Linked DNA regions of Ovis aries. The protein of the gene in region 1 interacts with the protein of each later gene in a pairwise test. Links are inferred from orthologs where the notes say so. Each region holds a gene or a part of one and is shown on either strand. Other genes may lie near its edges.

Region 1 (3,674 bases):
CTGCAGCCTGAGAAAGCCTAATTTCTTCCTGCCCAGTCCTTAGTGGGTTTCTCTGTCTTTCTCTTGCTTGAGTTACACCGTGGTGTCTCTGGGCGGATGGGCATCTAGCTAGTATTTATATTAAGCCTTTATTCTAAGCGCTTTGACTTTCTGAAGCGATTTACTTCATGGAACCCTGGCATACTCCTTCGGTGTCCACGCATTCATTCAACAAACATTTTTCCAAGGCTAGTCTCTGCCAGGAGTTGGGTGTCCTTGTTTCGTTTGAATTCGAGGGTGCTTGACGCGACCTGAAGGACCCTCGGGCTGGAGAGCGCATCTCAGAGGCCAGGCACCCACCCCAGCCACGAGGGCGCGGCTAACGAACGTCTTAGCTGCTAGGCCACTTTCGATCCCCACTGAGATCCCAGGGTGCTCAGAGGAGTTGGGTGCCGGAACAAAGCGGTGGTTTCCCCCCAGGCACCCTTATCTGGCCTTGGGCCTAGGGCTCAGCCAGTTTGCCTGGAGTTAGTACAAGTTTGCTCCGCAACTTGGAGGGAGAAAGAGGGGGAAAAGGCAACTTCGGCACAAAAGTGGCTCGAAGAAGGCTGGATCAGGGAGACCGCAGGCGCGTCCGCGGGGGACGCCCGGCTCGGCTCCTCACGGCCCCTCCTGGACACCGGGCTCCTGGGGCAGCCGCTGTCCGCCGCCCCTAGTCCTGCCGGCCGGCGCTCCTCGGGCGGGTTCCTCCTCGGCCAGGCGCGCCGTCCGCCCCTCCTCCCGGGCCCTCCTCCTGCAGCCCGGCCTCCCCGCGCCCCCGCCCCCGCCTCCGCCCCAGCGAGCCAGAAGTCCCGGTGGCTGGCGCAGCGCGCAGCCTCCGCCCCGGCTCGGTGCGCACGCCCGCGGCCCCACGCGAGCCCTGTCCGTCCCGCGCCGCCGTGTCCCGCGCCGCCGAGACCAGCGCACGGCGGCCGCTGCGTCCCGACCGAGTGCGGAGCCCGGCGCGATGCGACTCTCGCGGGCGGGCCGCGCGGCGCTCCTGGTGCTGCTGGCCGCGCACTTCCCGGCGAGTCTAGCGCTGGAGGAGAAGAAAGGTAAGGACGCCCGCGCCGCCGTCCTTCCCGTCCCGGGCGGCCGCGCTTTCCGCCGGGCTGCGGAGGAATGCGCGTCTCGGTTCCGGGCGGCGGGGCAGCCTCCGGCGCGGGGCGCGGGGCGCGGCGGGCCGCGGCGCCCGCAGCGCGGCTCTCCCCTCTGCTCTCCTGCCCTCCGCGGGCTGGACGCCCAGGCGAGCGCGTCCCAGCACGTGCGCCCACAGTCTGCCCGGCCCGGGGGCCGAGGGGGGACACGGAGTCCACCTCGCTCCCTCGGACCTCCAGGACCGGAGCGGCCCTCCGCGCCCGTCCCCGCACCCGCGCCCAGCCTCCGGTCAGGCTCCCGAGCCGGGGAGCCATCCTCCCAGAGCTGCCTTAACCTGGAGGCCCGGAAGCTCGTTCCGGGCACCGGCCACCTGTGCTGCGAGTCAGCGAGGGCCGAGGTACCCGCTGGCCCCAGGGGGCGGCTCGCACGGCGCCTCCACACCCGGGTGCGGCCCGAGCTGCCCCCGCCGTCCGCGCCCCTCCGGCGGTGGACTCTCCTGAGTGGTGGTTTCCCGGGACTCCCGAGACTCGCCCCCACCTGCAGCCCGTGGGCCGCGTGTCCCGGCTTCGAGGTGGATGGGACGGAGGGTGGGACAGGCCGTGGCCAAACAGCCGGGGCTTGGTGCGAACGCCCCAGAGGGGGGAACCCATCCTGGCTGGTTCTCCATGGTTTCAAAACAGGGCTCACAGCAAGCTTTCCTCCTCAAAATCCAGAAATTTTTGTGTCTGGGATGTGTTTTCTAGTTTTGAAGAATTTGACATTAAGCCAACCAAAATATTAAACTTAATTTAAATAAAAAAAATTGATGTCCGTGATTCACGTGTGCCAAATATCCAGACCCAACATGAGCGAGTCTGGCTTCGTGACTGCCGACCATAAACCCACTTGAAATGAGAAACATGCCTCAGAAGGTTTAATTGCCCAATTTCAAGATCGAGCAGCTTGGGTTCCGAGAGTCAGGTCTGTACTTGCTGTTGAGGTCATTGGCACAGGGTATGGTGCTGAGCGAGTTTGATGCGGGAGCGCTAAGGCATAAAGCAGTGGTTCCCAAACTTTGTTTCAAATTAGAATCACTTGGGATTTGAAACAGAACAAACGAAAAACGATGTCTGGCTCCCACCCCCAGACTTTGTCATTTCACTGGTCTGGGTTGAGACCTGATTGTATGAATTTTTAAAAGCTCTTCAGGTGATTCTGCTAGGCAGTCAAGTTTGGAAATCTCTGGCAACAGAGGTGAAATCTCTGGCAAGATTGCTGCCAATGTAAAAAGCTCTTTGGGAACATCTGGAGTTTTAACAATCTTGCAAAGGAAAGAGAATGATGATTTTATTTAAAAAAGAAATTAGTTTTTTCAATGAAAGTCTCTCCTCCTCTGAGTCCCAGGCTGTGGTCCAGCTCCTGAATCTGTTGACAACAGGATTCCCGCCTGAAAGCAGGTGGCAAGGGGACCCCATCCTTATTTTAAACCCTTGGAGTGCCTCCGAAGCATCACTTTTCTCATTTCAGAAATGTTCCCAGCTCTTTGCTGTTACCCTTCTGAACACTACTATTAATGCTTAAAGATTCTTTTCTAAGAAATATATAAATACCACTTAAATTGCCTGTTAGTCCCATGTTTGTTCAAAACAGAATGCTTCTGAATACGATAGTGAGAGTAGGTGAACAAATGTTAAAGTAACGTCAGAAGACCAAAATGTACGGGGCAAATTATTAACAGCAAGTGTTAAAGACCTGTGTTGATCAAATTTGGTAAGTTTTATTCTAGAACATTTACTCATTTTAGAGAGGCTTCTTTGGTTCTAAGATACAGTGTCCTTTGTTCTCACTGCACTTGGTCCTGTCGGACACCGTTTTAAATGTCCTTTTAATCTTTACATCAACCATACAAGTTGGCTCTTGTCATTCTATGTGGGGAAACCGAGGTACAAAGAAGTAAAGTGACTTTCCCGCAGCTTGCAAAAGGCAGATGTTTGTTTGTTTACCTGAATTTTTAAACTCTGGCCCTCTGACCCTGGAGCCCTTCCCTGGGTGCTGCCTGTGTTGATTTGTTGTTCTGGTTTTAGAGGAGCTCTGTCGGTGTGTGTGATGTAGGATGCTGGCAGAGGGAGGAAGAACACTGGGGATGAGGAAGCCTCCTGCCCATGGTCTGGACTCCTTCTCCCCGTGCTCAGGAGGCTCCTTTTGTGGAAGAACTCTGTCACAAAGTGAGCGATGAATGTGGAGATTGCTGGAGGAATGTGGAGCAAGCTCCTTGCTTTTGAAAAACAGAAAGGGGAAGGTGCTGCTCCAGAAGTGATCGTTCATGGTATTCTCAGCTAGGCCATCCGGCCCGGCCCCTCCTCAGATGATATCCTTGGCTCAGTAGATCTGGGCTGTATAAAAGAGAACAAATTTGGGGATTTTGAATCGTATCCAGGGTGAAGCCTCCCTTTCTTTAAGGAGACCAGAGGATGCCCACTCAGTACTGGCCTGAAGGCCAGGAGCCTGTGTCCTCATTCCCATGCTGTGTGAAGGTGAATCTGTCCCTTGCCAGCTCCAGGTTCTGAGACCTTGTTTCT
Region 2 (3,744 bases), on another chromosome or scaffold:
TTTTAAAAGGAAAAAGAGTCGGCAGTGAAACTATCTTTAAGGTAAAGCTCCTGAAACTTAACCCTAAAGGCGTGCTCTTATATAGAAAAGTCTTCTTAATCCTTGCAGTGCAGTTATAGCTGAGGACATGTGGTATACATTACAGCGCTCAGGGAATTCAACCTCCGCAGTGTGGAGTCACAGTGAAGGCTATTTTCAAGATGAAGCGGGAGCCTTCTCTATAGCTGTTACTGGTGTTTCTTGTTGGCTGGACATCAGTCCGGGACTGCTGTGAGTGGGACAGAAGGATGAAAATTTAAAGGGGACCCGTGTGGGCACATAAAGACCTCTCTCCCCTCCCTGAGCACCCCCTTCTCCAATGTATATTCCACACTTCACACTTGGGCATCACCAAGTCTTACCCAGTCATTGCAACAGGGCTGAAGGCAGAGCTGTCCATGGTTAGGAGGAAAAAAAAGAAAAACAATGTTCTTGCTGTTGGTTGAAACACCAGGCAATAACAGTCCTCTCGGTGAACAAAACTTATTAGAGGGCTGGGGATGGAATGCTATCTCTCTGCAGCAGGCAGGAAGAAATTGCTGTTGAAAAGCTTACCTCTCTAGGGAGGAATCAGATATCAGACTTTGCCAAGCCTCAGGTCCAACCCATAAGGTCCCACCTACATCCACCCCCCGCCTCATCCTAGCTTTGTTAGATTGCTAGCATTGATCGCTGGCTTTTTCTGACCCAACAGTGGATGCAGAAGAGAGAACCAGGGAGACTTTAGAGCATGGGAGGTGGGGGTGGAAGATTAGGGCAGCTGTGGTAGGGAGGAAAAAAGAGAGAAAGAGAGAGAGAGAAAGGAGGCTAGCCGGGTGGGGGCCATGGGGACTCAGCTTAACTGCTGTCTGCCTGCTTCTCTTTGATTTGATGGCCTTTATTCCTTCTAATTGGATAAAATAGGAAGTCACTGGCAGTCCCGCCTTGCTGGGTATCCTGATTCTACTCAGACCAGCCAGCAGCCCCAGAGTGCGGATAGAGGGGTGGGGGTTGGGAGAGGAGGGAGGTAAAAAAGAAAGAAAGAGGGGAGAGAGAGAGTCTCTGGATGAAGAGGGGGAAGGCAAGGGGAAGAGACTGTGGAGAAGGCAGGAGCCGCAGAGGAAGAAAGTGAATGAGCCTCGGGAAGGACAAAGAGGAGTGGCTGCGCGGGTGGGGGAGAAGGCAGGGCGGCGAGCGCGGCGACCGCCCCTCCCGGCCGCGCTCTCGCCTCCAGCGCGCTCTGCGAAGAGACGCTTCGCCGTGATGCTCGGAGGGCAGGCACCTGCTGCTCTGTGATGATTCAGCCCCTTTCAGCCGCCGCGCTCACACCACAGGATGCTGTTGCTACTGTCGCTGCTGCCGCTCCTGCCGCCGCCGCTGCTGCCGCCGCCGCCGCCGCCGCTGGTCCTGCTCCTGCTTTTACTTCTTCTGCATGACAGTTGCTTTCTCCATCTGAGCAGACCCCAGCTGCAGCTGCTCGAGGTGAGAAACATGCCTTTCAGTTTGGGCTACTGGTTTACTTAACCGACCGCCGCCGCATCAGCTCCTGGGTTTCTCCGCTGGCCTCCGGTCTTCCTGACCCAGCCAGGATGGTTTGGAGAAGCATATAAAAGAACTGCAAAAGTGGCCCAGAAACAGCAGTCAAGAATTACAATATACTTTTATTTGGTTGTTGTTGTTGATTTTTTTTTGGCCTCCCCTGCCTTCCTCCTGAACTCCTCTTGCTTTTGATAATGGCCTTGGACTTGGACGACTTATCGATTTCTCCCTGTAAGATGCTGTATCATTTGGTTGGGGGGGGTTCTGCATGGTAATGGACAGTGTGAGAGGCCAGGCCTCCTGGAGGTGAGCCGATGGAGATTTATTCCCCAGACATGTCCGAGGGAGCTGCTGAGAGGTCCTCGAGCCCTTCCACTCAGCTGAGTGCAGACCCATCTCTGGACGGACTTCCGGCAGCCGAAGACATGCCGGAGACCCAGACTGAAGATGGGAGGTCCCCGGGGCTCGTGGGCCTGACTCTTCCCTGCTGCGTCTGCCTGGAAACCGAGCGCCTGAGAGGTTGCCTCAACTCAGAGAAAATCTGCATCGTCCCCATCCTGGCTTGCCTGGTCAGCCTCTGCCTCTGCATCGCGGGCCTCAAGTGGGTGTTTGTGGACAAGATTTTTGAGTATGACTCTCCCACTCACCTTGACCCTGGGGGATTAGGCCAGGATCCTATTATTTCTCTGGATCCAACTGCAGCTTCAGCTGCTGTGTGGGTATCAGCCAAGGCGTACACTTCACCTGTCTCCAGGGCTCAGTCTGAAACTGAGGTTCGAGTTACAGTGCAAGTTGACAATGCCCTTGGGTCCTCCGAGCCTTCGGCGGTCCCCACCCCCAAGAACCGTATCTTCGCTTTTTCTTTCCGGCCGTCCACTGCTCCATCCCTCCCTTCACCCACTCGGAGCCCTGACGTGAGAACACCCAAGGCAGCCACTCAGCCACCATCAACAGAAACTAATCTCCAAACTGCTCCTAAACTTTGTAAGTAGAGAGAGACGGGTGAGGATGTGTAGAGGAGATGGGTGGGCTTGAGGTCGTCCGAAGTGTTCTCTAGAGGGTAGAGCTGAGGTCCTTGTCTTCTCGGAGTTGAATGGCACGGTTTGGTTTAAGCGCATCACGTGACTGGGTTGCTCCGGCAGAGATGAGTGAAAAGACCTTACAAACTGCTGGTTAGAACTGATGCTATCACAGCAACTCTCTCTTCCTGGATGGTGAAATCTGGGGTGAGGACCCAGAGCTTCAGCATCTCTGAGCCATGCTTGACTTTCAGTTCCATTCCATAGGTTTCTAACACTTTTTAGGATGAAAACATCAGACCATTTTATATATATATGACTTCTGTACAGCAGTGAGTAGGATCCTGATGTGTTTTTTTTTTCCCCATGTAAACTTTCCATTACCTCTCCTCACCTTTCTGCTATCCTTTGCCTTCCAGCCAGCCCAAGTTGCGAGTTATCTTTCTCCATCTCTTCTTCCTGTTCCCTAAACCACTTCTCCCCACGTTTGTACTTTAATTGCTTCTTCCCAATATCACATGAAGTCTTAGATGTTTACAGCACTCACCTCTTACCAGCAGGTTGCTGTCATGCTCAGATTATAGTTTGAGTTGCTGAGCACTTGTTAGGGGCAGTTTTATTCAGGATCTGGTACAATTCCACATGAAAAGATTTTCCCCAAACTAGGTTGTTGTTTTTTTTTTTAATTTTATTCAAGTATAGTTGATTTTACAATGTTGTCTTAATTTCTTCTGTACAGCAAAGTGACTCTGGTATACACACACACACACACACACACACATACACACACACACACACACACACACATATATTCTTTCCTATTATACTTTGTCCAAAGTGGTTTTGCCTTCTGGAATCAAATATTTAAATAGCTTCCTTGACAGTCATTAGAAAGTACAAGACGCATTAGTAAATCTTTTTTTTTCAGATGTGTCTTTTTTGTCCGTAAGACTGCAGCAGTCCTGTTTAATAATCTGTGAGTGAAGAGAGCCCGTGCTCTTAAAACAATACAGAGGAGTCCTATTGCTGTCTGTACTGGTCATTGCCATGCTTTATAATGGAAAAGTTGACAAGGATGAAACCATGACTAGTCAGATTGTTTTAAATGTCATTATAGAAGAGAGGCATTTTCTATAGCTTTTAAAAAAGTTTCTAATTTACTTTCGTT
Region 3 (3,740 bases), on another chromosome or scaffold:
AGCCAATCTGTGTTGGGTAATAACTCCTCATTCCCATTCCAGTGATTTTGCTTCATATCCTGTTCCTTAGACACCCTAGGAGAACCAGATTTTTCCACTCTGGTGTCATTGTAAGCAAGGACTTTGGCTTCCAAAGCAGTGGGGCAGGGGTCAAGGGGTGTGGATGACATGCTTGGCCTTCTGTGTGTTCACCACTAAGCAGGAAGATGATCTGAAAGTTAGCCTGGCCCACCTGGGACTGGCACTAACCTTTGCCAGCTCTGGCGTTGGCTGTAGGAAACCACGAGCCTTGAAAGCTCCCGAAGTTGCCTTCCTGTCTTCCCCTGAGAAGAATCCGTGGTGTTTCCTGAAACAAGCTAGGCCCCATTGGCCTGAAGAAAGGGTTTTTAAGCTCCTCCTCTCCCCTTGAAGGGACTACGGGGAGAATACACCTTCCAGGGAAAGCAGCAATAACTTTGTGCACACTGAGCCACCACCCACTCCACCCATCCAGGACCGTCTAAGAGCGGTTGCTGCCTGCTGGGGGCCCCACCCTGGTATGCTGTCGACTCCCATGCAGCTAAGAACCAGGAGAGGGTAAGCCAGGGACGGCTCTGTGCCAGTGGCGTGTCGGAGACTCAGCCAAGGCTAGGATAAGGAGGGGAGGTAGTTGGGCAGATAGCTTGTCGGGGAGCTGTGACCCCAGCACTGGCCAGAGGTCCTGGAGTCCTTACCCATAGTTTGGGGGCCGAACCTGCCGATCCGGGCCGCCCCCTCCCACACCCACTCCCTGCACCGGAGCCCAACCTATGGGCTTGCGTCTCCGCCTCCTTGGCTTCACAATCTCGCGGCTAGTCCCAACCTACCTGGACCCAGTACTCGGCTGCTAACGCTACCACACCATCCTCCCTGCTCGGCTCCGAAAGAAGCCCCGGAAGCCATGGGTATGTGCAGAGGGTTTGGGGTGGCTCTTCTGCCTGGAAATAGCATTAAAAGCCTACACCACTACTACGCTCTCTCGCTGTCCACACTGGGTCCGGGACTCGCGCCAGGGCCAGTCAGCCCCGACTGGGCTCTTCTGAACCGCGTGCCCGCGCCATCCTCCGCCCGCAGAGGTGCTGGTCCTAGCCGGTTATCGCGCGGAGAAGGAGGAAGAGCTGAACCTGGCGCCTGGTGACGTGATCCGGCAGGTGTGCAAGGGGCCCGCACGGGGCTGGATGCGTGGAGAGCTGGGAGGCCGCTGTGGCCTCTTCCCGGAGTCCCTGGTGCAGGTGAGGTAGAGCCGGAGGTCAGGCGGGGTTTCTCTGCGCGCTCCCCAGGGAGCTGAGAGCCCCTCTCTCGGTGCGCTCTTTCACAGGAGATCCCGGAGACTCTCCGCCGCTCGGGGGAGGCGCCGAGACCGCGCTGTGCGCGCCGCCAAGGTGAGCGCGGGTGCACGTGGATACGCGCGCGCGGAGCCCCAGCGCCCAGGTTGTCCCCAACTCGCCTTGAAGGGCGCGGCTCTGGGCGGGGCTGCGCGGCCACGGCGCGACCCGTGATTGGTTCTCAAGTACAATGCTCCGCCCTGGGGTGGGGCCTAGACTCAGGAAGGGTGCCAGCGCGTCCCGCTCCTCCCCCAGCTCCGCGGATTGGAGCGTGAGACTCAAGCTGCTTCACTCTCGACCGACACCAGGTTGCTCAGTCAAATTTCTGGGCCCCCGAAAATGGTGCAAGGCAAACTTCAACTACACTCCGGAGCAGGCGGACGAGCTGCAGTTGCAAGCTGGGGAGATTGTGGAAGTGATAAAGGAGGTGAGGGGATGAGGTGATGGATGAGAGGGGTTTGAGGGGAGACGATGGAATCTCTGAGTGAGGAGACGGGTGCCGTGAGGTTGTGGGTGATGGAATTGATGAGGGGCACAGAAATGGGAAAGTGAGGAGGCAAGGGAGGAGAGGGGTCATCTGGGAAGAATCGGGGTGAATCAGGGTTTAAGATTGCTAGGGAGGCCCTTGGGGCAGGACTAGATGCCCCTGCGTCCTCCCCACTTCCCAGATTGAGGACGGCTGGTGGCTGGGGAAGAAGAACGGGCAGCTGGGAGCCTTCCCATCCAACTTTGTGGAGTTGCTGGACAGTGGGCCCCCAAGTGAGACCTGGACCCTGTGACCCCGTGAACCCCTGTGACCAGACTACAATCTTCAGTGACCTGCCCCAGTGGCCTGAACCTGTGATCTGCACATCTTGCCCTATGACCCCTTTGACCTTTCCCATGACCTCAACTGCATTAGCACCCTCCCTAACCTCGCTATCCCCCACCAGGCCTTGGCAATCCAGACATCCCTTCAGTCATCCTTGGTCCCCAGCGGCCTCCCAAGGTAAAGTGGGTGGAGTGGGCAAAGTTGGTCAGTTTCTCTTAGGGGGTTGGAGGCTCAGCTTGGTCCTTCCCCTGCCCCCACTAGCTGAGCAGCCTGACCTATGACAGCCCTCCAGACTACCTGCAGACAGGTGAGCACCCCGCCAAAGGGTCCCTCAAAATCCTCTTCCCCAAGCCCCTGTGACTTGGGGGAGGGGGTGCCCAGGTAGGCTGATGGAGGAGGGAGCCTATGACTTGTGCAGGGAGGGGATTTGGCATCAGTGAACTGAACTCCCCTCAGTCTCCTACCCCGAGACCTACAGGGTCCTGTTTGACTACCATCCTGAGGCCCCAGACGAGTTGGCTCTTCGGAGGGGTGATGAGGTGAAAGTACTGAGGAAGGTGGGCAAGACACAGGGCGAGGGAGGGCACGGGGATGGGGGATGTTGAGAAGCGTGGGCTTAGGGAAGGAAGGAGCTTGGGGGTCTGGCTCATCTCCCCACGACCTCTTGCTCTCCCAGGTCACAGAGGATAAGGGCTGGTGGGAAGGAGAGTCTCAAGGCAGAAGAGGACTTTTCCCGGATAACTTTGTGCTCCCACCTCCCCCAGTGAGTACGGAGCCAGGGACTCTGGTGGCAAGGGGCAGGCCACTCTGGACAAAGCTGAGGGTGGTGGCACTCGCTGGACACAGCTGAGGGCCACCCACAAGCGAGAGTGGACCTAGAAGTGTGAGGGCTCCTCTTGTGCTTCTGACACTTTTTTCTGCTTAGATCAAGAAGCTGGTCCCACGGAAAGTGGTATCTCAGGAATCAGGTGGGTGCCGGGGAAGCCTGGGACTGGGGAGTGATTTCTGGGAGGCCCACCAGTCCAGGTGCTCACAGACACCCGTAGCTTCCCAGTGGTCCAGTGCACACCCTTAGGAGGTACCTCCCCATGGGTTAAAGGCCTGGTAGGAATGTCTGGTGGGTCTGTGTTAGGACTGTGTCACTTCGTGTGTGTTACTATGTTCCTGTTCCTCTGTCCTGAGCTATCATTCTCATCAATGACTGTGTTTACATTTGTTTCATTTTGTGAGGAAATGTATGGATCAGTATATCTGGGCCTTTGAGACTTTGTGTTCACGTATCTATCAAGTGAGTCAGAGAATAGCTCTGTTTATGTGTCAGTGTATCTGTGGGATGTGTCTTTATGTTTTAATGTCATGCACACAATCCAAAAATATACGTACGTATGTGTTTTATTTTTTTATTTTTATTTTTTTTTAATTTTAGTTTTTTATTTTTTAAATTTTAAAATCTTTAATTCTTACATGCATTCCCAAACATGAACCCCCCTCCCACCTCCCTCCCCATAACATCTTTCTGGGTCATCCCCATGCACCAGCCCCAAGCATGCTGCATCCTGCGTCAGACATAGACTGGCGATTCAATT

What was found.
Region 2: the proteins of EGFR (region 1) and NRG1 interact in a protein complementation assay, tested with the Homo sapiens proteins (3 studies listed by BioGRID and IntAct, with this or other methods). The link is inferred for Ovis aries from reciprocal best matches to the Homo sapiens genes EGFR and NRG1.
Region 3: the proteins of EGFR (region 1) and SH3D21 interact in a protein complementation assay, tested with the Homo sapiens proteins (2 studies listed by IntAct). The link is inferred for Ovis aries from reciprocal best matches to the Homo sapiens genes EGFR and SH3D21.

What each region holds. Positions count from the first base shown.
Region 1 is NC_056072.1:1,092,587-1,096,260, reverse strand, and holds the start of EGFR (epidermal growth factor receptor), read left to right. Parts: upstream 1-823; 5' UTR 824-985; coding exon 986-1,073; intron 1,074-1,731; exon of another isoform or gene 1,732-3,674. UniProt on the Homo sapiens protein: Receptor tyrosine kinase binding ligands of the EGF family and activating several signaling cascades to convert extracellular cues into appropriate cellular responses.
Region 2 is NC_056079.1:27,643,878-27,647,621, forward strand, and holds the start of NRG1 (pro-neuregulin-1, membrane-bound isoform), read left to right. Parts: upstream 1-1,265; 5' UTR 1,266-1,353; coding exon of another isoform or gene 1,354-1,542; 5' UTR 1,543-1,871; coding exon 1,872-2,541; intron 2,542-3,744. Other genes in the region: uncharacterized LOC128092250 homolog, read left to right, coding at 1,354-1,542. UniProt on the Homo sapiens protein: Direct ligand for ERBB3 and ERBB4 tyrosine kinase receptors. Concomitantly recruits ERBB1 and ERBB2 coreceptors, resulting in ligand-stimulated tyrosine phosphorylation and activation of the ERBB receptors.
Region 3 is NC_056054.1:11,176,725-11,180,464, forward strand, and holds the start of SH3D21 (SH3 domain-containing protein 21), read left to right. Parts: upstream 1-853; 5' UTR 854-919; coding exon 920-923; intron 924-1,092; coding exon 1,093-1,250; intron 1,251-1,336; coding exon 1,337-1,400; intron 1,401-1,616; exon of another isoform or gene 1,617-1,651; coding exon 1,652-1,770; intron 1,771-2,011; coding exon 2,012-2,102; intron 2,103-2,119; exon of another isoform or gene 2,120-2,275; coding exon 2,276-2,331; exon of another isoform or gene 2,332-2,415; coding exon 2,416-2,461; exon of another isoform or gene 2,462-2,559; coding exon of another isoform or gene 2,560-2,610; coding exon 2,611-2,711; intron 2,712-2,830; coding exon 2,831-2,917; intron 2,918-3,079; coding exon 3,080-3,122; intron 3,123-3,740.